Linked DNA regions of Elephas maximus indicus. Each later gene encodes a partner of the first gene's protein in a complex. Links are inferred from orthologs where the notes say so. Each region holds a gene or a part of one and is shown in the gene's direction. Other genes may lie near its edges. The genes, in order: CYFIP2 and BRK1.

Evidence for each region.
Region 2: CYFIP2 (region 1) and BRK1 share a complex: the UniProt entries of both Homo sapiens proteins name them as parts of the WAVE1 complex. The link is inferred for Elephas maximus indicus from reciprocal best matches to the Homo sapiens genes CYFIP2 and BRK1.

The regions. Positions count from the first base shown.
Region 1 is NC_064820.1:173,774,484-173,786,964, forward strand, and holds the start of CYFIP2 (cytoplasmic FMR1-interacting protein 2), read left to right. Parts: upstream 1-6,698; 5' UTR 6,699-6,922; coding exon 6,923-6,923; intron 6,924-8,758; coding exon 8,759-8,898; intron 8,899-10,368; coding exon 10,369-10,458; intron 10,459-12,481. UniProt on the Homo sapiens protein: Involved in T-cell adhesion and p53/TP53-dependent induction of apoptosis. Does not bind RNA. As component of the WAVE1 complex, required for BDNF-NTRK2 endocytic trafficking and signaling from early endosomes.
Region 2 is NC_064838.1:34,996,962-35,009,584, forward strand, and holds the start of BRK1 (protein BRICK1), read left to right. Parts: upstream 1-6,122; 5' UTR 6,123-6,160; coding exon 6,161-6,278; intron 6,279-12,623. Other genes in the region: FANCD2OS (FANCD2 opposite strand protein), read right to left, coding at 135-671. UniProt on the Homo sapiens protein: Involved in regulation of actin and microtubule organization. Part of a WAVE complex that activates the Arp2/3 complex. As component of the WAVE1 complex, required for BDNF-NTRK2 endocytic trafficking and signaling from early endosomes.

The DNA.
Region 1 (12,481 bases):
GAGGTCTCCACGTCTCTCCGTTCACTTCTCCCTTTTATATCTCAAAAGAGATTGGCTCAAGACATTATCTAACCTTTTGGACCTCATCAGTGTAACTGCCACTAATCCATCTCATTACATCATAGTGATAGGATTTACAACACATACGGAAATCACATTAGAAGATAAAATGGTAGACAATCATACAATCATAGAAGGAAATCATGACCTAGCCAAATTGACAGATATTTTGGGGGGACATGATTCAACCCATGATATCCCACCATTTGCCCCCCCAAAATTTATGTCCTTGTCACATATAAGATATATTCACACCATCCTATTATAGCAAAAGTCTTAAATCAACTCCAAGTCCAAAAATCTCTTCATCTGTGAAATCCAGAATACAAGTTATCTGCTTTCAAAGTACAATGGCAGAACAAGTACAAGCTAGACATTTCCATTACAAATGGGAGAAATTGGAGAGAAAGAAGGCGTAACAGGCACCAAGCAAGTTAGCAGAACACATTACATCAGCCCTCAAGGCTTTGAAAATAATCCTCTGTTCTCTGAGACAATTTGCACAATGGCTGTACCCTCCAGACTTTAGGTATTGGCCACACTCTCTGGATTCTGAGTGGAGGCCCCTTAGCTCTGGGCTTCAGCTCTGCCTTCTAGGCCCACAGGGATGGCAACCCTGCTCCCTTGGCTTTACCTGCACTATTCTCCTCGTTCCTCTGAGTGGCAACTTCACCCTTAGAAACACCAGAGGCCATGGCTCCGTCCTTTGACGCCCCAGAGGTCATGGCCATACCTTTTGAGACTGGGGCAGCTTGGCTTCCTCTGTTGTCTCTTCAGCTTCTGCTTCCTGGTTTCTTGGCCTCTGGGGAATCTGGGCTTTACCCCCGCATCTGCTCTGCTGGGGCAAGTGTTCCAAAGCTCTGTAGCTCCACCGATAAGTGCCTGGAGGGCACCTCACTCCACCAGGGAGCCTCCTGCACACAGGTGCTCAGCCCTCTGGCTCCATAGGTTGGCTCCAGTGCTGTCTGGCACTGGTCCCTGGTTCTGCTGCTGCTGGTTCTCTGCTGCTGCTAGTTCTCTGCTGCTGCTGGCCCTCTGTCACTGCTGCTTCTCTATCCATTCACAGTTTCAAAACCACTCCACATTTTAGGTATCTGTTAGAGCAGCACCCACTCTCTCGGTAACAAATTCTGTCTTAGTCATCTAGTGCTGCTGTAACTTCCACAAGTGGATGGCTTTAACAAAGAGAAGTTTATTCTCACAGTCAGGCAGGCTACAAGTCCAAATTCAGGGTGTCAGCTCCAGAGGAAGGCTTTCTCTGTTGGCTCTAGAGGACGGTCCTTGTGATGCATCAGTCTTCCCTTGGTCTGGGAGCATCTCAGCACAGGAACCTCAGGTCCAAAGGATGCACTCTATTCCTGGCACTGCTTCCTTCGTGGTATGAGGTCCTCATGTCTCTCTTTTATATCTCAAAAGAGATTGGCTCAAGACACTAACTAATCTTTTAGACCTCATCTGTAACTGCCGCTAATCCATCTTATTACATTATAGTGATAGGATTTACAACACATACGGAAATCACATCAGAAGATTAAAATGGTAGACAATTAAACAATCATAGAAGGAAATCATGACCTAGCCAAGCTGACAGATATTTTGGGGGGACACAATTCAATCCATGGCAGCTCCTAACTGAAAGGTTGCCAGTTCAGATCTACCCAGAGGTGCCTCAAAAGGAAGCCCTGATGGTCTGCTTCTAGAAGATCACAGCCATTGAAAACCCTGTGGAGCACTGTTCTACTCTGAAACACATGGGGTCACCACGAACCTGATTCTACTTGATGGCAAACAGTTTTGGTTTGGCTCTAGAAGATAAAACCTCAGTGTCTTTATACACCTAAAAAGTAACACTATTTTCCCAGTTGCGTCACTGGCGGAATGCAGGCCATGTGACCCCCAGTGGATGACACTGTCAGAGGGAGTGACACCAAAATGACTGTCTATAAAATTTTCATGCAGTGATTCAGCAGAAATTTATAATTTTCTAATAAAAATATCCATGTAGTTAGCTATAACAGCAAAAACATTTTTCACAAGCCCAGCTTACGTGTATCGATATACCTACAAGGCTAAAACTCTATGCTAATTTACTTTTTAACCTTCTAATGTGCTGTGGTCAGAGATGTCATTTTATCCAGTTACACTGACACTTCGACTTATGTGGTTTCATCTGCACATCCCACAGGCTCGCGTTGTTGTTTTCGTTGCTGCCGATATTTTTATAGTCGCTGATTTTGTCAAATTTTCTGGTGTTTTAGCTATAAAACAGTGTTGTGGTGATTAGTATTTATGAACCTAATTCAATACCTTTTTTGAGAATAAATTATTAATTCAAGGGAAAGAAGGAGAAAATAAACATTAGAACCAAAAACAGTACTAAAGACAGGAGATCCATTGGGCTGGGAGCGGGATCAGGGGTGGGGACGTGTGACACCATGAGTTACTGCACTGAGTGACACCAACCCTAGTGATGCCACTGCCATTTCCTTAATATTATCAAATATCTGATCATTGTTAAGTTTTTTTACTCCGTTATTTTTATGGTTGGTTGTTTGAGATAGAATCCAAATAAGGTCAACGCATTGTGACAGTCTGTTTAGTCTCTTATAGCCTATAGCTTCTCCCTTCATCTCTCTTGTTCTCTTGCTCTGTGTTTTTTGTTTTTTGCAATTTATTCGTTGAAGGTACTGAGTCATTTGTCTAGTAGTTTCCCATAGATTGTAATTTACTGATTGTATCACTGTGGTCCTTTGTTTCCTGTGAACTGGTATTGTTGGGGATTGAATTATGTCCCCCCAAAAATGTGTGTATCACCTTGGTTAGGCCATGATTCCCAGTATTGTGTGGTTGTCCTCCATTTTGTGATTGTCATTTTATGTTATGAGGATTAAGGTGGGATTGTAATACCACCCGTACTAAGGTCACCTCCCTGAGCCAAGGTAAAGGGAGTTTCCCTGGGGTGTGGCCTGCACCACCTTTTACCTCTCAGGAGATAAAAGGAAAGGGAAGCAAGCAGAGAGTTGGGGACCTCATACCACAAAGAAAACAGCACCAAGAGCAGAGCACTTCCTCTCCACCCAGGGTTCCTGTGCCTGAGAAGCTCCTCCACCAGGGGAAGATTAAGGACAAGGACTTTTCCCCAGAGCCGACAGAGAAAGTCTTCCCCTGGAGCCGACGCTCTGAATTTGGACTTGTAACCTACTAGACTGTGAGAAAATAAATTCCTCTTTGTTAAAGCCATCCACTTGTGGTATTTCTGTTATAGCAGTACTAGATGACTACGACAAGTATCAAAGGCTGAATAGATTAAGGTATTTTGTTTTGGGTCTAGACTTCTTCATAAGGTGGTGATATACTTTTCCATTAGGAGACAATGTGTTATTGTCTCTCATTTAGTGATGTTAGCAGTTGTTGATGATTGATGCCTACATCCATTTGTTCATCAGGGGATTGGATTTTCTTGGAGGGGGGAGAAAAATACTTTTATGGTGAGAAACATCCCTTTCTTCTACAACTTGGTTATCCAGTGGTACTGTTTGTATAGGAAAGGCAAGTTAAATATTGGTTCACAAGCATTTTCCAACAGTAACCAAGTAATAAAGACCAAGTTTTTATTGTCATGATCACACAGATTTAAGCATATTTGATACTGTTTCAGTCCATTGTAGTTATTTTGCTAGTTGATGCTCAGATTGTCCCATCTTTGGTCAGTGGAAGCCTCCCCAGGTTGGCTTCAGGGTCCCTTTGATTCACCCTAGTAGTCTTAAATTAATAGCTTCTTTGCTTTCTGGTATGACAAGATTTTCTTGACTTTTATACATGTTCTGTCCCAGACCTAGAGAAAGCCAACTCTTCAGTGAGCACTGATTCCAAATGATATTTGGATATGACATTCTGGGCACCAAGGGTGCCCATTGCTCTTGGGTTGGGCATTGTTTCTAGGCCTTTTCAGTGGACAGAGTTTTTGTTATGTTTTATGGTAGAAAGATACATAACAAAACGTACGCCTTCTTTATTTTTTATTAAAACGTGTAAGTTCTTACTAATGCTTCAAATCCATGTTCAGGACTATTAGGTTTTTACTTAGTCTCCTCAGTCTTACATACGTATCTCCTTTATCCTGTGTCAAGGATGCCAGTACTTCATGCCAGGAAATGATAGAATTAGAACATTCCATAATTACTAATTTTCTTTACCGGACAATAAATCCTCATATTCTCACAGCAACAGTACCTCAATATAATTACGGAAAACAACTTAAGCTATATATTTACAAGTCCTTTGTCGTCTCTAGAGTATATCCCACTAAGGATGTGCAGTCAAATTAATGAATTTTAAAATTACTTGGGATGGTTTCTTTCTGTGTGGTTATGCCGCCAACCAGATAGACCTTTAGGTTCATTTGTTTTGGAGATTACTTTGTAAATTTAAATTTTATTTACATGGTTTTAAAGGCAAATCTATAAAACCAGATATATTAAAAGAATTCTAGTTTCTATCCTTGTCCCTTTAACTGTATTCCTTCCCATTCCTTTCTCCTCTCACCGTAGGTAACCAATCTTTAAAATTACATGGTTTATCCTTTCATTGTTTGCTTTTTAAATATAAGATATATGTGTGTGCATCTCCTCCTTTTTATATAAATTGTAGCATACTATACATTGCATGTCCAAGAGCTTACTGCATCACTGCATGTAGAGTGTCATCTGTCTTCGGTGCCGCCTGCTGCTTCATCGTATAGACGTACCATGGTTTATTCAGCCAGATGTGTGCATGGTTTCCAGTCTGTGGCCATTGCAGATGGTGCTGCAGTGACTACCTTGTACAGACATCTTTTTGCCAGTGTGTCTTTGGGATAGATTCCTAGAAGTGGGATTGCTGATCAAAGGGTAAAATGCTTATGAAAGTTTGCTAGATACTACCTGTCTTAGTTATCTAATGCTGCTATAACAGGAATACCACAAGTGGGTGGCTTTAACAAACGGAAATTTTTCTCTTAGTCTAGGAGGCTAGAAGTCCGAATTCAGGGTTCCAGCTCCAGTGAAAGACTTTGTCTCAGTAGGCTCTGGAGAAAGGTCCTTGTCATCGATCTTCTGCTGCTCTAGGAGCCTCTCGGTGCAGGGAGCACAGGTCTGAAGGATGGACTGTGCTCCTGGCACTACTTTCTTGGTGGTCATGAGGTCCCCTTGTCTCTCTGCTCACCTTTCTCTTTTCTATCTCAAAAGAGATTGACTCAAGATACAACCTAATCATATAGATTGACTCCTGCCTCATTAACATAACTGCCTGTAATCCTGCCTCATTAACATCATAGAGGTAGGATTTACAACACATAGGAAGATCATATCAGATGACAAAGTGACGGATAGTCACACAATGCTGGAAATCATGGCCTAACCAAGTTGACACACATTTTTGAGGGGCACAGTTCAATCCACAGCACTACCAAATTTCCTTCCATAGTGGCTGCGCCATTTTGCATCCCCACTAGCATTGTATAGGACGGCCTGTTTCTCCACTGCCTCAGCAACAACGTGTGTTGTCAAACTTTGGATTTTTGCTAGTCCAGTAGGTGAGAAACAGTATCTCTGTGTAGTTTAATCTGAATTTCTCTTATTACGAACAAGGTTGGAAGCTTTTTAAAAACACAGTCGTCAGAGTCCTATGGATGAAGCCCAGACATTTAATGCGAAGAAGCTGAGCATGTGCATCTCTGCCATAAGCAGACAGGAGAAGCACTAATGTATCATCTTTCAAACACTTAGCACAGAGCCTGATACAGGATAAACCTCCAGTCATGTGTCTGGTATCACAAGTGAGGCTGAACATTGGGGCAGAAGTACAGGGTCATGAATATGACCACAGACTTTGGAGCTGAACAAACCTGGTTCTATTTTCAGCTCCACGACTTGCCAGCACTTGACCTTGTGAAATTACTTAAATTCTGAACTTCTGTTTGCGCATCTGTAACATGGGGATAATAATAGTACCTCCTTTTATAGGGTTTTCATGCGAGATTATAATCGTCAAGTGCTTGGCATGGTGTCTGACACAGAGTAAGGCTGAAGAAATGATAGTTTTATTATTATTTGAATTAATAAAGGAAATTATTAGGCCTTTGGTGGTTATAGATTTGAATCATTACTGATTGCTGTCGAGTCGATTCCTACTCATAGCGACCCTATAGGACAGAGTGGAACTGCCCCGTAGAGTTTCCAAGGAGTGCCTGGTGGATTTGAACTGCCAGCCTTTTGGTTAGCAGCTGTAGCTCTTAACCACTATGCCATAGGGTTTCCTTTGAATTAATATGCCCTGTAAAATCATTAACCCTTCTGTAAAATGGACTTAACATTAATGTAAGAAAGAAGGCAATCTTTTATGGATTGGCAAATGGTTTTGCTGTGGAGCTGAATGTCACACTTAGGATTCTGAGGAGAGAAGAGAACAAAGAAAGAGGGGGAGGTGCAGATGGGGACCTGAAACCATCCCTGTGAGGACTGATGCCCCAGAGGGCAGAGGGGGAAGTCACTTCTGAGCTGGGTATTCCCTCATTGCACGTGGCTTTCACCATTACCATAGTACGTGACAGGAAGATGTGTTTGAGAACTCAGTGAAGTGTGTGAGCTGCTCAGCGGTGGGTGAAGGTTGTCTTTCTTCCTAGTTCAGCCCCCATCTGCCCTCCCAACCTTGGGTCTAAAGAAAATATTAGTTTAGTGATAGCACGACCTTGGTATACTCTGCAGCTGTTTCAACTCTCTGCAGCCCAGGTTCACATGTCAGTTGTTCATGCCTCCTCTGGCCTGACGCCTCGTTTCCTTTGAGCAAAGCAAGCTGACATCCAAGCAAGAAACTTCAACCCTTAAGTATGTCTCCTGCCTCCCTGGGATTGGCATGGGAGGGAGGAGTTCCCGCAATAGAAAGATGAGTCTTCTCGGTTTCCTCCTTACTCACACATGCTAAAGGGTTAGCTTTTCTTTTTAATTAATCTTTTTTAGAAACTCAATTTTTAACATTGGTGTCCACCGCTACTGCCGTTTGTTTGGTTTTGCTTTGCTTTTTTTGTTTCACTTATTTCTGCTTTTCTAATTATTCCTGTATTCTCATTTTCTTGTGTTGATTTTTTTTAATTCTCTTTTTTTTTTAGATTTTTGAATGGAAAATTAGGTTCATTTAATTCCATTTTTCTTATTTTCCAATAAATATATTTATTAGTGCTTTATCTTTCAGTTCAAAATATTTTATAATTCCCATTTGAATTTCTCTTTAGCCATCAATAACTTTGAAGTGTTTTATAAGTTTTCAACAGAATGGATTTTTTTTTGCTTCATTTTGCATTATTGATTTCTAATTTCATTGTGTCGTTATCTTTGACTGTGACTTGTTGGATATCATATTTAGGGGAACTTGTGGCAACTTGTTCTAAGGCCTAAATCACAATCAGTTTCTATCAGTGTTTCCTGTGTGTTTTTTTTAAAAAAAACAAAGATGGATAAGCTGTTCGCTGGGTGCTGAGTTCTTAAAATAGCAATTGGCTTGAGTTGGTAGCAGTGCTTTTCAGATCCTCTGCATCTTCACTGCCTGGCAAATATGTTGTTCTCAAAGCAGCTGCACTCTGCTGGGTCCAAGACAAAAAATGTCCCCTTAGGGCTTATTTGTTTGATGTGGCACACGAAACATACCAGGGCCAAGGGAGATGAGGGCTCTTCCATCTTTGCAAACAAGGTCGATTTGCTGGAGCCTGAATTCTTTTAGTCCCGGCTTATTTGCCTTTGGATGGTGTAAACTGGCTGCTAACCAAAAGTTGGAGGTTCAGGTCTAGCCAGAGGCACCTTGGAAGCAATGCCTGGTGATGTACTTTCAAAAAAATCAGCCTATGGGGCACAGTTCTCCCGTCACATACATGGAGTCACCAGGAGTCCAAATTGACGCCGCTGCAACTGGTGGCTTAATTAGCCTATGAAGCCTAGGCTCTGGTTTCAAGTTGTTGGTTATCTTGGCTGTTGAAATCGTGAATATCTGTGCTGTGCTTTAATTTAAAAGTGGAATGGTAAATATCCTTATGAAGAGCAAAAGGCGGGGACTGACTGGCCTGGTGTCAGGCATTATTTTAGGTCATTTACCTTTGGTTACTGTGGTTGTATGGGTATTACATAACTTCTCTGAGCCTTGTTTCTTTATGAGTTCTTTGAATATAATACTTCCCACTCACCCTGTTGATCATAGCGGGTTGTTGAGTCTAAGCTGAAATAATAGGCATACAAGTACTCTGTAAACTGTAAAAAAAAAAAAGTTACGGTCAAGTTGACTGACTCGTGGTGAACCCATGTGTGTCAGAATAGAACTGTGCTCTGTAGGGTTTTCAGTGGCTGACTTTTCAGAATTAGATCACTGGGCTTTTCTTCTGAGGAGCCTCTGGGTGGACTTGAACCTCCAACCTTCCGGTTAGCAGCTGTGTGTGTTAACCATTTGCATCACCTAGGGACTTCATAAACTGTAAAGAAATCCTCAAATATATAAGGTGCAGGTTGAGGGCACCAGCCATCCCTAGAGCATGGTTCTGAAGAAGTAGCAAGTGGAAGTGATCTTAATGCATGTTAGCCCCCTTTATCCCACGGAAAGTGTCTGCACTGGGTGGGGTTGGATGAAATGTTTAGAGCCCCCTGAAATCCTCTGTTGCCCTTCTCTTCCTTTCCCTCAGTGCGGAATAGGGAAGCTGCAGCCATGACGACTCACGTCACCCTGGAAGATGCCCTGTCCAACGTGGACCTGCTGGAAGAGCTGCCCCTCCCTGACCAGCAGCCATGCATCGAGCCTCCGCCCTCCTCCATCATGTACCAGGTAAGTTCTCCTGGCCCTGCCTGGAAATAGTGCATGGGCCTCAGGACTCTGGGGATCCCCTAAGAGGGTTTGCCCTGCAGACAGAGGGAAGGGGGAGGTCTGCTTCTGGAAGGTGAAAGGTTGAGAGCTGATGGAGTTCCTTGCACCCTTCTTGGAGCTGAATGTAAGGAATAGATTAGCTAGTAAATGTTCACCAAGACTATTTCCCTTCCCCAGGGAAGGCTTGTTGAACTGCACTGACCCCAAATACCTTCCTGGTTGTTCTTGCCGCTGCACCAACCAAGCTTTTGGCAGCGCTGACCTCATGAATTAAATATTGCAGTTTAGAAATCCCCAGAGCCTGCCTGGGTAATTACTCCTCCTTCATGTGTGTGAAAAGAACTCTATAACTGCCTACAGCAGGTAATGGCTCAGGGAGGCTGATCACAGTTGTTTGCTTTTGCCTACGAGAGGAAAGCTTGTGATAAACAACAATGGAATTTCTCAGATGGTGATCCCGTCAGGGCTTGGTGGGGAAGGGCACCAGCGGGGCTGGAGTTAGCCTTATACAGAGCCCCTTGTCGGGGTGTGCGAGGAGAGTATGCCACGTTAATAGAGAACTCGTTAATTTGACATTTTCGGCTGTGTTTGACCTTTTGAAAGTTCTTGGACTACTAAATGAGACTAAATATAAGACTTATTTTTAATTTCGTCCAGTGGTTAAATGTAGTTATTAAACACATGCCTGAAGCCTCAGCTAACATCAGTTAAATTTTTAATTATGCTTTTGTATTACAAGCAGTACAGAAAAGTGTAACTTTAACAAATAAAAGTTTCCCTGTATTATGCCAATATGTGTACACTTTTTTTATTGTTTTAACCAAAAGGGAATCATACTGTATGTATTGATGTACGATTTGGCTCTTTTTAACTTAAAATGTATTAGGGATATTTTTCTATGACAATACAACTGCTAATAATAATGTTACCACATTATTTTTAACCGCCACATAGCACTTCTAAGTCCATTGTATGAATATACTTTTACTAATTTAGCTGTTCTCTTTCAATGGACGTTTGGGTTGTTTCTAGTTTTTTCTATCACAAAAATTCCACAGTGATTATCCTTTCGTTTATGTATCTGCACCCTCAGATGAGTATTTCTGGACCTACTGGATCAAAACAATGCACATTTTAACTTTTACCAGCTCTTTGGGCTTTTATGGTTTAAGCCTTTATTGCTGAGGCTCCACCGAGTAAACCTGACGAACTGCCAATGGGAACAGATGCGGGCCTGTCTTCCACCTACTCCTGCCCAGTGTGATTCAGAGTGGGGTTTTGGGGGGTGTTGGGGAGGATGAGAGGGTAATATTGTGATAGATTTCTACCGAGAGCTATGGCATTTGTAGGCAGCAGCTTGTTGCCTGGACATTCAGGTCTCTTGGACCTGTTTTCCAACAATGAAATCCTCCTCTGCTCTGATTCCCACAGGCCAACTTTGACACGAACTTTGAGGACAGGAATGCATTTGTCACAGGCATCGCAAGGTACATTGAGCAGGCTACAGTCCATTCCAGCATGGTAAGTCTCTGCAGCAGATGGGTACACGCTCCCTGCCAGGGCTGGAGGGGCCCTTGGCAGCCTTCAGACACAAAGGACAGGTGCTCAGCTATTCCAACCCCCACTGCCTCAAGCAGACCCAGCTCCTTAAGTCCCTGCTCAGGCCAGGCTCCGTTCACTCTCATATTCAGCTTTCTCTTCTGGCTTTGCAAATCTGACTCACCTTTAGGGCCTAACTTAACCCCTGTTATTCTAAAGCCAGCATTGATTTCTCACTTCTCCAAGCTTCTATAGCTTTTTGGGTTAACATATGATTAAATCTTGCCTTCTCTTATACTTTATAAATTTCTAGGTGTGGGATATTTTTTCCTGAGCAAAACAAAAGGTTCCTCACTCAAAAACAGGGACAGTGCCTTTGAAATAACACAGGTATTGACTCGAGGAAGCTGGTAGCCTTCTTCACTCCCAAGTGGGGCTGGTTATTATTTTCTTTTGTAGTGCAAGTGTCTGACCCATTTGCAAAGGATCGTCGCCTTGCCTCTTGGGCCTTTGTTGGTTTTATTCTCATGCAACACAGAAATTTGAAGAATTCCAGGATCCTTACTCAAAGAGTGTGTAATTCTTATTGGCTCTGCCCATGGTTCAGTGATTTTTTATATATAATCGGTTGTATTCTAAAACCTTATCTTAACATTCCTTATTCACTCAATACTGTGCCACCTGGACTGTGCTAAATGCTGGAGAGGTGTACATGGAAAAATAGGGCTGAGTTTTGATTCTCACAAAGTCAATTGGGAAATAGACAAGCTTCATTTATTGAACACTTCTTCTGTGCAGATATTTTAAATGCATTTATATCATTTCATCCACATATCAGCCCTGTGCAACAGATATTATTATAATGCCCATTTTACAGATGGAGAAAACTGACACCCAGAAAACTTAAATAACTTGCTCAGGGTCCTTATGCTGACAAGTGACAGATGTAAATCCAGGTCTTTCTGACAACAAAGCCTTTGTTCTAGGCTATTCTTTGCTGATAAAAATGCACAAAGTTAAAGGTAAATATCGTGGTAAAATTTCAAAGTGAAGCTTTTAAAGAGTACTTGAGAGGGTCAGAGAAAGCTTGTTGAAGGAAGTGGCTTTTGAGCAGGGCCTTATAAGAGGGTAATGATACCTTTGTGTATATGGTACTTCAGAATGTATAAAGTATTCTTAATACGCCTTATCATTGGTGCCTTATAACAGCCCTGAGACTTGAAAAGGGATCATTATACCTATTTTAGGGATGAGAAAACTGAGGCCTAGAGAAGTTAATAAGCAAGTTGTCCATGATCCCACAACTAGTAAATCACAGGATTAGACCTGGAACACAGAGCCTTCAATTCCCAGCCTTCTTATCTTTCCAGTGCACTCTGCTGTCTCGTGTAGTTAGAATTTTATAAGTCAGGGAGGGCATTCCAGGTGGAGGAACTGGCATGAACAAGGCACGGAGGCAAGGATTTTCAGGGACTATCTGGGTTTGGATTCTAAAGAACATATAGGGAAGTTGTCTGTGGTATTTATGGAAAATTACATTAAGTGTCAGGTGGCTGGGTGATGCAAATGGTTAAGGAGTTGCCTATTATCGGAAAGGCTGGCAGTTATAAAGTACAAAGAGGCACCTTGGAAGACAGGCCTGGAGATCTTCTGAAAGACCACATCTTTGAAAACCCTATGGGGTACAGTTCTACTCTGCACACAAGGAGTCTCCATGAATGGATGACCGAGTTTCTAGTGCTGTTACAACAGAAATAACCACAAATGGGTGGCTTTAACAAACAGAAATTTGTTTTCTCATGGTGTAGGAGGCTAGAAATTCAAATTCAGGGTGCTGGCTCTAAGGGAAGGCTTTCTCTTGAGTCTAGGGCAAGGCCCTTATCGCTTTTTAGCTTCTGTTCCTTGGTTCCTTGGAGATCTCATGTAGCGTGGCATCTATCTTTCCCCATCTGTGCTTTGTTGCTGCTTGCTTGATCTGCTCTTTTATACCCCAAAAGAGATTGAT
Region 2 (12,623 bases), on another chromosome or scaffold:
GAAGAGGCTTCTGAATTGTCACTGCTTGACAGCAAAGCAAGGTGGCTGGGGCAGTACCACAGTTCTATTTATGTGGACAGGTTCTGTAAGCTTCAGGCATATACCAAAGGAACTGGGAATCAGAGGGAGACCCTTTACTTGGAGTGTTGCAGGGCGAAGGTGCACTTCTTGTACGTTGCATACAGCAAGAGGATAGAGCGCAACATCTGTTTGCACATAGTCACTGTCATCTGAATCTGAGGCTCCTTAAGTCCAGTGGGCCACTGGTGCTCCCGGCTGATGATTTTGCAAAATGCTGACTTGTCTGAAACTCTGAAGGTCCCAGTCCACTTTGGTGGCTGAGCCGTGATGATCCTGCCAAAGACAGAATCTACTCCACTGAGGCGGACAGGCTGGGGCTTCCTGACCAGCCCTTTCTTGTTGTTCATGGTTCGGAGCTCTGACGTGTGGCAGGGTAACTTGGGACTCATTCCAGTTTCCAGAATTGGGCTGTCTAAGACTAGTGTGACCTCTTGAAAGCACAGCTGCACTTCAAGGTCAGAAGGGGTATGTGGCAAGCAGGGGGAGGCCCTAAAGGGGTGTTTGGAAGAAGGTGTAGGTGTTGTGTGCCGCAGCCATTGGAAGCTCTCATCCAGTGGGGTCCATGGTGACCAGAGATGGTATGCCGCCATTGAAAGTCCTAAAGAAAAGGAATCAGAACATGGAATTTCCCTGGCATGCTTATGATGGGTGCACGGCTGGTCAAATTCACATCTGCGTCTCATTAATGACTTAAACTTACTCTGTAGTTCCCGTGAACAGATTCCAACAGGTGTTGGAGTATATTAGAAATTCTATAAGAGGCAGTAGGGGATGGTAGCTAGTGTTGAATCTAGCAACTGCTATGTGTGCTAAAACCTTATTAAACCCTATCACAAGCTCCGAAGGTAGGTTTAACCCATTTTACAGGTTAGGAAGTAGATCTGTCTGAATTGGACTATCCCAGTCCATCTTTAGTACCTCTTCTGTGTGGTAATGGCTGAAGACAGAGTCCACTCCTCTGAGGCAGCAGAGGCTGCCGGAACTTCAGGATGAAAGATTATTTATGGTTACAAGCTCAGAAAGACCATGTCTTACCAAATATTTACAACTCTAAATCCCATGTACTTCTCTTTACAGCACTCATTCTCAAAGTATGATCCCTGGACTAGCAGCTTCAGCATCCTCTGGGAACTTGTTCGATATGCAGATTATTGGGCTCCACCTCAGACTTAAAGAATCTAGAAACTCTGCAGGTGGGAGCTCAGCAATAGGCATTTAAATAAGCTCTCCAGGGATGTACCTTATAATTTGAGATCTTCTTATGCTTCCCCTTTTGAGGAATTCCAGCTTTCACTGTTCTTAGTTATGGAGACAGTCTCTTTTTAGCCCTAAAAACCTCAGTGTTTCCTGACACAGAGAGTAGCTCTTTTTCAGAGCCCTGGCCTACCTATATACAGGCTCAGAGAAATTATACCAGGCTGGGAGGAAAGAAAGTTTCCAAAGGCCAGTCTTTAAAAAATTTTAAAGATTTTTCTAGTTTTTCTATGTATGTGTTTTTCTCATCTAGGAGAGGCCCACCATGTGGTTAAGACCTTGATTTTCTACCCCCCCTCACCTTAAAGATAATTCTTTAAGGGCTGGGAAGATATTGCTAACTCAAAAATTTTTCAAGTAGAATTTGAATTTCCCATCATTATACTTCAAAAGTAACAGTATATAAAGGGTTTTTCTGAATTCAGAAGAAGCTAACGTTTTGAGCACCTACCTAGATGTAAGAGGCATAGCAGATCCCTTTTCTTTCCAACCAAGTGTATTCCTCTGTCCCTTCTCTCTTCTCCCACAAAAGGTAACAGCAGCAGATCTGATCCCATCCCATCCATTAATTGCCCTGGAAGTGCTGTGAAAAGTTGATACCTCCACCATAGTTTGTAACACAAACTGTTGATTCTTTAAAAAAGTTTTTAAAGAACTGTTGGTGACATTTCAAACCAAAAGACCTACCCCTGAGAATGGTTAGTATAATGGAAGTTTGTTGGTTTCCTCCAACTAGTATGGTTCTCATAATCTGTGCAGGCCCTTTGCACAAACTAAGTGTTCACATATTGGCTCCTTAGGATGAAAAACACTGACACCCAAGGGACAGCCTAGGGAAGTCTTCTGATGCTTGATATGGCCCTAAGCATATATCCAAGATCGTGGCTACTCTGGTACAACTCCTCTGGGCATACAATGAAAAAAAGATAATCCCAGGATCCTTTTCCTTACTCATTTCTTATGAGAAAATAGAACCAGAGGTGAAAGGTTTTGTCAAAGGTCAAACCTTGGATGTATAGCAGAAAGAGCAGGGGATGAGAGGGCTCCTGATTTCACATCTTTCCACCACTTCACACAAGGTTTTAATAAAGGTGATTCACCCCCACCACCACCTGGAAGCTGTCATCCACTCCAAGAGGGGTTGAATCTAAGAAGTCTGTTCAAGCTGCTGTAGCAGCTTCCAGCCTGAGCAAACAGGCTTCCCCTTCATACCCTCCTCTAGTTCCCAAAAAGCCCCTGGAATTTCCCCACCTGGGAAAGAGGAAGGCAGCGCCAAAGTGCAGTGAGGTCCTCGTGAGCTGCGATCAGGAGGGGCTGGAGCTGCCCGGGGTTGGGAGGCTCTCCCTTCCAGCCGGAAGAAAAGGCTTGTCTCCCGGGGTCCCTACCCGGGGGCGGGGGCCAGAGGGCTCTGGCCGAGGCGGAGGTGGCTGTAGGAGCCCGGGCCCGGTCCCACCATCCGGGCCGGGGGCTCACCTGCTGAACTCCGCGGGCCACACGCTCCAGAGTGGCTGCCGCTGTTCCCGAGCCGCATCTTTTCTCCACCGGGCGCCTGGCAACCGCCTTTGTGACCCAGGATCGCGGAGAAGCCCGAGCCTCAGGGGTGGGGGGTGGGGGGCTCGAGGCGCCCCTGCTGTGAAGCGTCAGGGCTGGACTCCCTACCCCTCCTTGAAAAGCTGGTTCTGGGACTCGTCCTTCAGGAGAGTGGATTCGAACCCGGCCTTCCTCTCTCCCCCGTGTCCCGGCCATACCTGTGTCTTTTCCTCAAGTCCTCAACCTCAGCATCCATTCCAACCCTGTAATAGAGGACTGACACACCCACTTCACAGACTGTGATCAAGAACTTGCATAAACGTCCTGGGACCTGTAGTTAATAAAAGTCTCTAATTACAGCCAACTCAGTGAGTGTTCAGGGCTAATTATCTAGAGCCCTGAAGACCTTTGTTGCTGTATTTTCAAATGATGACATTGCAAGGAAACAATTTATAAATGCTCGGTCTGTCAAGGAGCAAGAAAAAAGATACATCTTTCCTTGATTTCCTGACTGAAAGTTAAATCTCGAAAAGTACAGTTCTGTTCCCATCCTTACAATGCTGAAAAACTGACACCTTAAGGAATGATTTGACAAATTCCTAAGGATCATGCGAAACAACTAGCCTGGATCACTGAGGGAAGAGGATGTCTGTCCAGTTCACTCCCTAACGCCAGTGCGTGGCTATCACAGTGTTTGTAGTGTGCTGTTAGGATTTGTGGGAGGAACTGACTAATGGCCTACCTGCTCTTCCATCAGACACCCAGAAATTGCCCTTGCACTTTGCATGATGGAGAACACAGCACCATAAGAGCTGTCGCCTTTTGTTTGGGTGAAGGTGGAGTGGAGGGACTAGAGGCCTGGGGATGGGATCAGGTTGAGATCTTGGTCTGGAAAATAGTCTTGAGAGACTTGTGAAGGAGGCCCACAGTCAGCCGCCCACTGTGCCTGTGGAAGGAGAGGCAAGTGGAGAGAAGGGAAGAGAATGATGAGACTTGGAAGGCATGCAAGTGATTCTTGAATTACCAAACTTTTTTTCCAGGAAGTTTATTTTTATTTTCCTCTTGAATAAAATCAACACCTATTATTTAAAAAAAAACAATAATAGTTTTTATTGCAGTTTTTTTTTTTAAACGCAAGTCCCCAAAGCAAAATTGTATGATTAAAAATTGTTGGATAGATATAGGTGTATTTAATTTTCTGCTCTGCATAAATGTAAACTGATCTTGAGTACACGCTTTGTGAGGTGCCAGGCATGACTCTTAGTGTTTTACTTATCCTTACTCCATAATCCTCCCAACAGTCCTAACCCGTCAAATGTTGCTATTCTTGTATTACACATGAAGGGATGAAATGATTCATCTCTGGTAGACTTGGGATTTGAAACCTAGATGGCTTCCCTTTAATTGAAAAGTAGGTCTGTGATGTGTGAGCAAAAAATTACATTAAAACCCCTGAGGGAGCAGGAGAACAGTGGGATGCAGACCCCAAATTCTCATAAAAAGACCAGACTTAATGGTCTGACTGAGACTAGAGGAATTCCGGCAGTCATGGTCCCCAAACCTTCTGTAGGCCCAGGACAGGATCCATTCTCGAAGACAACTCATCAGGCATGGAAGGGACTGGACAATGGGTTGAAGAGAGATGCTGACGAAGAGTGAGCTACTTGTATCAGGTGGACACTTGAGACTGTGTTGGCATCTCCTCTCTGGAGGGGAGACAGGAGGGTAGAGAGGGTTAGAAACTGGCAAAAGCGTCACGAAAGAAGAGACTGGAAGGAGGGAGCGGGCTGACTCATTAGGGGAGAGTAAGTGGGAGTATGGAGTAAGGTGTATATAAGCTTATATGTGACAGACTGACTTGATTTGTAAACTTTCACTTAAAGCACAATAAAAATTACTAAAAAAAAAAAAATTACATCAAGAGCATCACTTACGAAGTATGGCCTCAAACAGGGAGACTCCGTACATATGGAGGGCTCCCTAGTTGTCAATATCTACTTATGTTAGAAATCACTGACATGAATATGTAGAAGAGCTCAGACAGACATGTTTTCAGAGTGGCAAAGTAAAAAGATAATGGAGTCTGGAATCAGCTGGTTAAAGACAACGACTTAAAAGGCTGTGTGACCTTGAACTTCAATTTTCTCTTCTGCAAAAGGGTGGTGATGTAATCTCTTCCTGACTTCCTCCCACAGGGTTTGTGAGGGCCCAGTGAGGTAGTAACTGCCAAGCATCTTTATAGATTATAAAATCTTATACCAGAATAAAGAACTGTTAGAAAGGTTTTCTCAGCTACTGCTAAAAGTAACCTGACTTTTCGCATTTTTTATAAAAGGCATTTATTGCACAAACCAGATTGTAAATATTCCCCAAAACCAAACTGCTCATAATTCTACTACTTTAACAAATTAGATATTGACATTTTTGGTGCATCCTCCTTGTTCTCAAGCAGACATTTTTTACATAGTTTCAAGTAAAGGAAAATTTGTGTTTTTTTAATTTGTTATCTTGTTGACATAGTCTTCATAATTAGCATTTAAATGACTGTATAATATTGCCTTAAGTGGCTATACCGTTGTTTAGCCATTCCCCAGTTGTTGGAGATTTAGTTTTTTATTTTCTTTTTTTTTTTTAAATAGATTATGCTACAAGGAGCACCTTGTGTTTAAAATTTTTTTTTAAATGTCTCCTAATGAAATGATTAAGCTAAATGTTTTTTTTTTTTTAACAGCTTTTGCTATCAATTAAAAAAATTCCTTCTGAAAAGATTGTGCCAGTTTATCGTGTGTTTACGAGTCTACCAATTTCATCACAGCCTCTCCATTACTGGGTAGTATCGTTAAAAAAAAAAAAAAAGCCTCTCATTTGATAAATGCTGGTAAAACATCATGTTGCGTTGTTTAAAGGCATTTTCTAAATGACTTTTACTGAGATTTAATCTGTTGTGCCCATCTTAATGCTGAAACAGACTGCAAGACCCTAGTTTGGAGCAGCTGAGGGAGGACGTGACTTGAGCCCACGCGCCCCCTAACGACCATAACGGCTAGTGACCGGGGGCGGGAGCGGGCTCTCAGCGCGTGCGCACTCCATTCTCACCGCCAGAGCTGGGGCATCTGTTTGCAGGGCCGTGGGAGAAGAGCGAAAACGAAGGCGAAGGCCTGACATTGCGCAGGCGCGCCACAATTCTCGTGGCGTTCCTGAGTCCCAAGGGATGGGCGTGGGCTGGCGGCGCAGGCGCACTGGCGGCCTGCAGGGTCGGGGCGCCTGCGCAGGCGCTCTTCCTTAGGCGGCCGCCATGGCGGGACAAGAGGATCCGGTGCAGCGGGAGATTCACCAGGACTGGGCGAACCGGGAGTACATTGAGGTCATCACCAGCAGCATCAAGAAAATCGCGGACTTTCTCAACTCGTTCGGTCAGCGGGCGAGCAGGGGGAGGCAGGGGGGAGGGAGGCCTTAGGCGGTTTGTCCGGGGCACCGAAAAGCTTTGACGGGCCTCTCCCGGGTGCCCTCGGCTCCTGCTGTTTTTCGCTTCCTCCTTCAGGCCCCTCCTTCCACCTCTCGGCGGTGACCCACAGGTTCCTCTAGACAGTTTCTGTGGGGTTATTCTGCCTTAAGCTGAGCTCATCGGCCTTATTGCCTTCATCCTAGGTCCATTAAGGAGTCCTTTTCCCAGGCGCGTCTATCAAGCAGCCCCATCCACCCTCTGCGCCTTGTCTTCTCACTAGTCCTGCCACCATGGGCTCCGCTTCCTATCCAGTCCCCACTTGGCACTCAGAGTGCACCTCCCAAACGCAGCCATGACCCTGTCACTGCCCTGTTTAAAAACTCTTGATGGCCCCCCCCTTTGAGAATCAAGTTGGAACCCCTTAGCTCCCTATATGTCTTTTCTGCAAATCTTTCAGCAGCTCTTCTGTCCATTCCTTCCTGTCTCCCGTGTATACTGTGCTGAGTGTGGTAGGAGATGAGGTCAGTGAGGTAGGTAAGGTCCAGATTGTGCTGTTAGTTGCCATCAAGTCTATTCCGACTCATTTGTTGGCAACTTCTGTATTGCTAGTATCCAGTAGGTGTTCTTTTTGCTTCTTTCCTGCTCCTCAGAACTAACATAGGGAGGTGTCTTGAGCATAGAAACAGCGTTACCAGAATCTTTCCCAGGAACGTTCAGCTTGTGACAGTCTTAAATTATTTCTGCATGTTCAGTGTCCTTTGGAGACCAGGCCTGTAACAGAGAATCCTACCCCATGTTCTCCAAGTGTTTCTTTTCAGAGAATTTGGCACTGGGTAGACTTCCTAATTACGTAAGGTGTGTGAATAATGTGTAGTTTTCTTTTTCCAGCTAGTGTGCGTTGGTTCCATTAATTCAGAAAATTAAGGAATTAAGATTACATAGGGAAAACTGATGCATAGGTAAAAGATTTTAAAATGAATTTTTTCCTACCTAAATGGCTGATGAGTCCTAAGGAGTGTAAAAGTGACAGCAAGAGTTGTGTCGGACCACTATTATAAGAACTCAAGAGTAGATTTAAATACAGAAGAAAACATTCTTTGATGGTTCGGAGGGTGGGGAGGGAGGGAGAGGGGTATTCACTAACTAGATAGTACACAAGAATTATTTTAGGTGAAGGGAAGGACAACACAATACAAGGGAAGTCAGCATAACTGGACTATACCAAAAGCTAAGAAATTTCCTGAATACAGCGAAACACTTAAAGGGACAGAGTAGCAGGGGTGGGGATTTGGGACCATGGTTTCAGGGGACATCTAGGTCAATTGACATAACAAAGTTTATTAAAACGTTCTGCATCCCACTTCAGTAAGTGACGTCTGGGTCCTTAAAACTTGCGAGTGGCCATCTAAGATGCATCGGTTGGTCCCAGCCCACCTGGAACAAAAGAGAATGAAGAACACGAAAGACACAAGGAAAATATGAGCCCAAGAGACAGCAACGGCCATATAAACCAGATACTCCATCAGCCTGAGACTGGAATAACTAGATGGTGCCCGGCTACCACCAGTGACCGCCCTGAAGGGAACACAGCAGAGTCCCTGATGGAGCAGGAGAAAAGTGGAGTGCAGAACTCAAATTCTAGTAAAAAGACCAGACTTGATGGTCTGACTGAGACTGGAGGGACACCAGAAGACATGGCTTCTGGACTCTGTCTTAGCCTAGAACTAAAACCTTCCCCAAAGCCAACTCTTAGCCAGACAAAGATTAGACTGGACTATAAGACATAAAATGATATTGGTGAAGAGTGTGCTTCTTAGCTCAAGTAGATACGTGAGACTAAATGGGCAGCTCGGTCTGGAGGTGAGGTGAGAAGGCAGAGGGGGACAGCAGCTGGTTAAATGGACATGGGAAATACAGGGTGGAGAGAAGGAGTTGCTGTCACATTGTAGGGAATGCAGCTAGCTAGGGTCACATAACAATGTGTGTATAGATCTTTGTATGAGAAACTGAATTGAATTGTAAACTTTCACTTAAAGCGCACCCCGCCCCCCTCTCCAAAAAAAAAGTCGTGTCAGAAGGCATCAGCAGGAGAAACAGGACTCAGTGCAAACAAAATCTATCTCAGGCACTGTGGGGGACCCAGAATAGGAATCACTTCTGCCTTCAAGAAATTTTTAATCTTGAAGATGAAATAATGATAACTTCAGAACAAAGCAGAACATTGTTTTTATGTTAAAATAGTTACAAGGTATGTAGGACTATAATCTTGATGTTCCTTAGTGTGGTGGATTTTCTCACCCACTGGGGAATGGGAGTAAAGGTAGTATTACTGAGCACATAGTATAAATGTGTATGTCATTGATACATACTCAGACGCAAAGTGCTATCGAGGTTGTAAATAGGGAATGATAGTCAAGAAAAGCATAGCTTTCATGTACCCTGAAATTTTATTTATTATTTTCGAGGAATATAAGTGAAGGAGTATGTTTGGTGGAAAAGATAAGTGGGTTTGGAATCAGAAGACCCAAGTTCAAAGGAGTTAGATGAATTGGTTTTAGTGAACTGAAAATGCAGTAATGACCCATTTACTCTGCTACCTAGATAGGCTGGACTTCCCCTTTTTTAAGTTCTGTATGAACTGTGTCAGTGTTGGAGCCCTGGTGACACAGTGGTTAAGAGCTGGACTGCTAACCAAAAGGTCAGCAGTTTGAATCCACCAGCCGGTCGCTGGAAACTCTGTGGGGCGTTCTACCCTGTCCTATAGGGTCGTCGTTAAGAGTCAAAACCGACTTGAAGGCAACAGCATTTTTTTATCGCAGTGTTTGTTCTTAATTATTGGTTTCTCCTGCTTTCCTAGAGAGCTGAAATATTTGCGGGGGGGCGGGGGGAGGGGGGCGGGGAGTTTCTTCATAGTATTCTTTATTCATAACATTCCTTTAGAGGAAGGGCCAAGAGACACCAAAATCTTTTGTGCTAGGGGAAGGATATAATGATGGCAGGATCACAGCTTTAAGACTTTGACTTAATCCGGAAAGGCAGTGAAAATAGTGAGAAAAATCACTGACACTGAAAGTTTTAACTTTGTTTTAAAAAGCAGAATTAAAAGACTTAATTTGGTAGGAGTTAATTTTTGACATATACACAGAATATCCAAGCAAAGTATTAAGAATGTCTGTTCAGTAAGTATCTAAACAAGTCAAGCTGAAACTGCTTTAAAAATTTAAAAGTGATTCTAACACCCCCCAAAAACAAACAAAAAAACAAAACCTCAGGCTGTCAAATCGGTTCTGACTCATAGTGATCCCAGTCCCAGAAAACTGGATCCCTGCTAGTGTCATAACTTCATTTCTGAGCTTAGAATTGTATTCATGGACATTTGGTTCACGTATATTTATCTTTGGGAGAAGTTTTCTTGGACTGTCACACCTACTAAATTTATAGTGGGCAAGTTTTGGGACTGATTGAAAATTGAAGGTTTGGGCTTAGGATTTGCATAGGAGAAATGTCCCTTTTCTTATATGCAAGAAAATACTTGCTCCGAGATTTTAAATCATATGTGTGTGAGTCACATTTTGTGATCAGTTAGAGAATAAAGACTTTTTAAAATTTTTAATTTGGTATTTCCAACAAGTTCTAAACTGAGAAACTAAAAAAACCAAACCCATTGCTGTGGAGTTGACGCCAACTCATAGAAACCCTATAGGACAAAGTAGAACTGCCCCGTAGGGTTTCCAAGGCTGTAAATCTTTAAGGAAGCAAACTGCCTCATCTTTCTCCTACAAAGTGGCTGGTGGGTTTCAACCATTCACCTTTTGGTTAGCCCCTGAGCGTTCTAATCACTGTGCCACTGGGGCTCCTTAACTGAGGAAATAGACACCCAGAATTCTAATTCTTAGGGGCCAGAGAAATGGCCTCCCTTATTTGGGTCATTATCTTCCCTTAAAGTAATGATAATAGCCTAGTGTTTGGAATAATTTCTAGGTTTTTGAAGATTTTAGAAAATGAACTAAGTCCTTTTAAAGAAAAAAAAAAAGAAAGCACAATTAATTACTTGTAAGGAAGAACAGTTAGGAAGCAAGATTAAAAATGAAAGCAATTTGATTCAGAAATTAGGTGCAACTGAAGCAAGTTCCTGAAGAGGGATAATATCACCACACGAGTTTAGACAAAGGCTGAGAAACGGTGAATCATGAGGACAGACCTGAGTACATCGTCTTGGCATTGGATGATTCAGGATGATAGTGTGTGGGATACGTTTTCCCTTTCTAAGCCCTTAGCATGACTCGTCAGTTCTGATATTAATCTGCAGGACTTGTTTCATATTCATAATATGATTTGATGGTGTAAAAATTCAATAGGAGTTTATTTGCGGGAGCATCTAGAGCACTTTCAAAATGACAGCAATCTTGCAGTCCTCACCCTGACCACACAGAGTCTGCAGAGGCCGTGTGCTTTAGAGAGGGAACTTACTTTTTTTTTTAATACTTTACTGCTTTTCCAAGATAATGACTTTCCCTTTTTTTTTTTTTTTAATATTGTGTTTCAGGTGAAAGTTTACACAGCAAATTGGGTTGCCATTTAATGATTTTAATACAGATAATTCCGTAACATTGGTTACATATTTTAGTGTATCAGCATTCTCATTGTTTCCATTCTGTTAGTTCTGCTTCCATTAGTCTAGCTTTCCTGCCCCTCCCTACCGTCTCACCTTTGTTTTAGGGTAAATGTTGACTGTTTGAAAGCCCTGGTGGTGTAGAGTTTAAGAGCTATGGCTGCTAACCAAAAGGTCAGCAGTTTGAATCCACCAGGTACTCCTTGGAAACTATCGGTCAGTTCTACTTTGTCCTATAGGGTCACTGTGAATTGGAACCTACTTGGCAAAAATGGGTTTGGTTTTTTTGTTGACTGTTTGGTCAACATTGAATATTTAAGGGAGCACATTCTTCACAGGTGGTATTGTTTATTTTTTAAGAGAGACAAAAGGTGGTGCAGGCCACACCCCAGGAAAACTCCCTTTTGGATCAGGGAGGTGACCTGAGTAATCCTTTTAACCACAGGCAGAGATTATGATCGATAACACAAAGGAAAATCACAAAATAGAGGACAACTACGCATGGCCTAACCAAGTTGACCCATATTTTGGGGGGACACAATTCAGTCCATTACAGGCATGCGTGTATGCTGATGACTTTCTGAATAGCTCTTTTCTTGTGGCTGGAGCTGGTGAGAGTAAAGTCTCAGTCTCTTTGTGGTTTTCTCTTTCAGAGTTGTAGGACCAACTAAACCTGAGGACACGCAGATTGTAATGCGGCAACAACACACTATAACACTAGGCCTGTTCTGTACTTTGGACTTGGTGAAGTTTCTAAAAATAGATTGCCACAGATTATAGCTTTTTACTTTTATACTTTTTTTTCCTGATTATAAAGCTAATACATGCTCATTGTGTAAGATGTAGAAAGTGCAGAAAAGTATAAAAAAAATAGAGAATGTGGCTATTTAAAAATCTCAGTTTTTATATTTGGCCAACAGAGTATGCCACTTGTGACCCCAGCTGTGTGTCAGATGACGATGTGAGAAAGGAATAAATAAGAATAAATGAACACAGTACCCATTCCTAAGAAATTTAGAATCTTACTGGAGAAATAACAGTTAGCTGCAAAAACAATTAGAAAGGCAGTGTTAATTTTTGTAGTGCCAGGGTTATGTGCAGTAAGAGAAGAGATGGAGCCATCTGGCATCTGTCAGCCATGATGACGTATGTACACCATCAAGTACCCTGGCAAGGACTGGCATTTTCAGTTGAAATCTGTTGATAATGTACACATAACTATACTCTGATTTCAGATTTGTCCAGCTGCCTAATGCTTTCCCGGTGTTTATTTGAACCAGTATGTACTTAATGGGATCTGAAATATGATTAAGGTTTCTGGAGTTGAACATTTTATATTTCTCAACTATGCTTGTACACGCAGGCCAGTAGCACAGTGTTGTTCTTGGATTCTGATTCATTACCAGATTGATAGAGCTATAACAGAACAGATAGCCAAGAAGGAATCCTCTCCCTGCCACACATGTGCACACATAGCTTTGGCATGGTTCTTTTTAGGAAATCACAGGTTGTCAGTGATGACATTTGTACTCTTCCTGAGTAGCGTACGTGATGTGCCTTTGAGCTTCTAAAAACTCAAAGGGATTTGGTCCTGTTGGACAAGCCTGACAGCAAATGGCAGTGTACCCAGGAAAAGAGGACTGCTGAGGTGTTCATACTCAAGTTAGACCCGGGAATTAGAGGAAGCAGCACTAGCAGTTT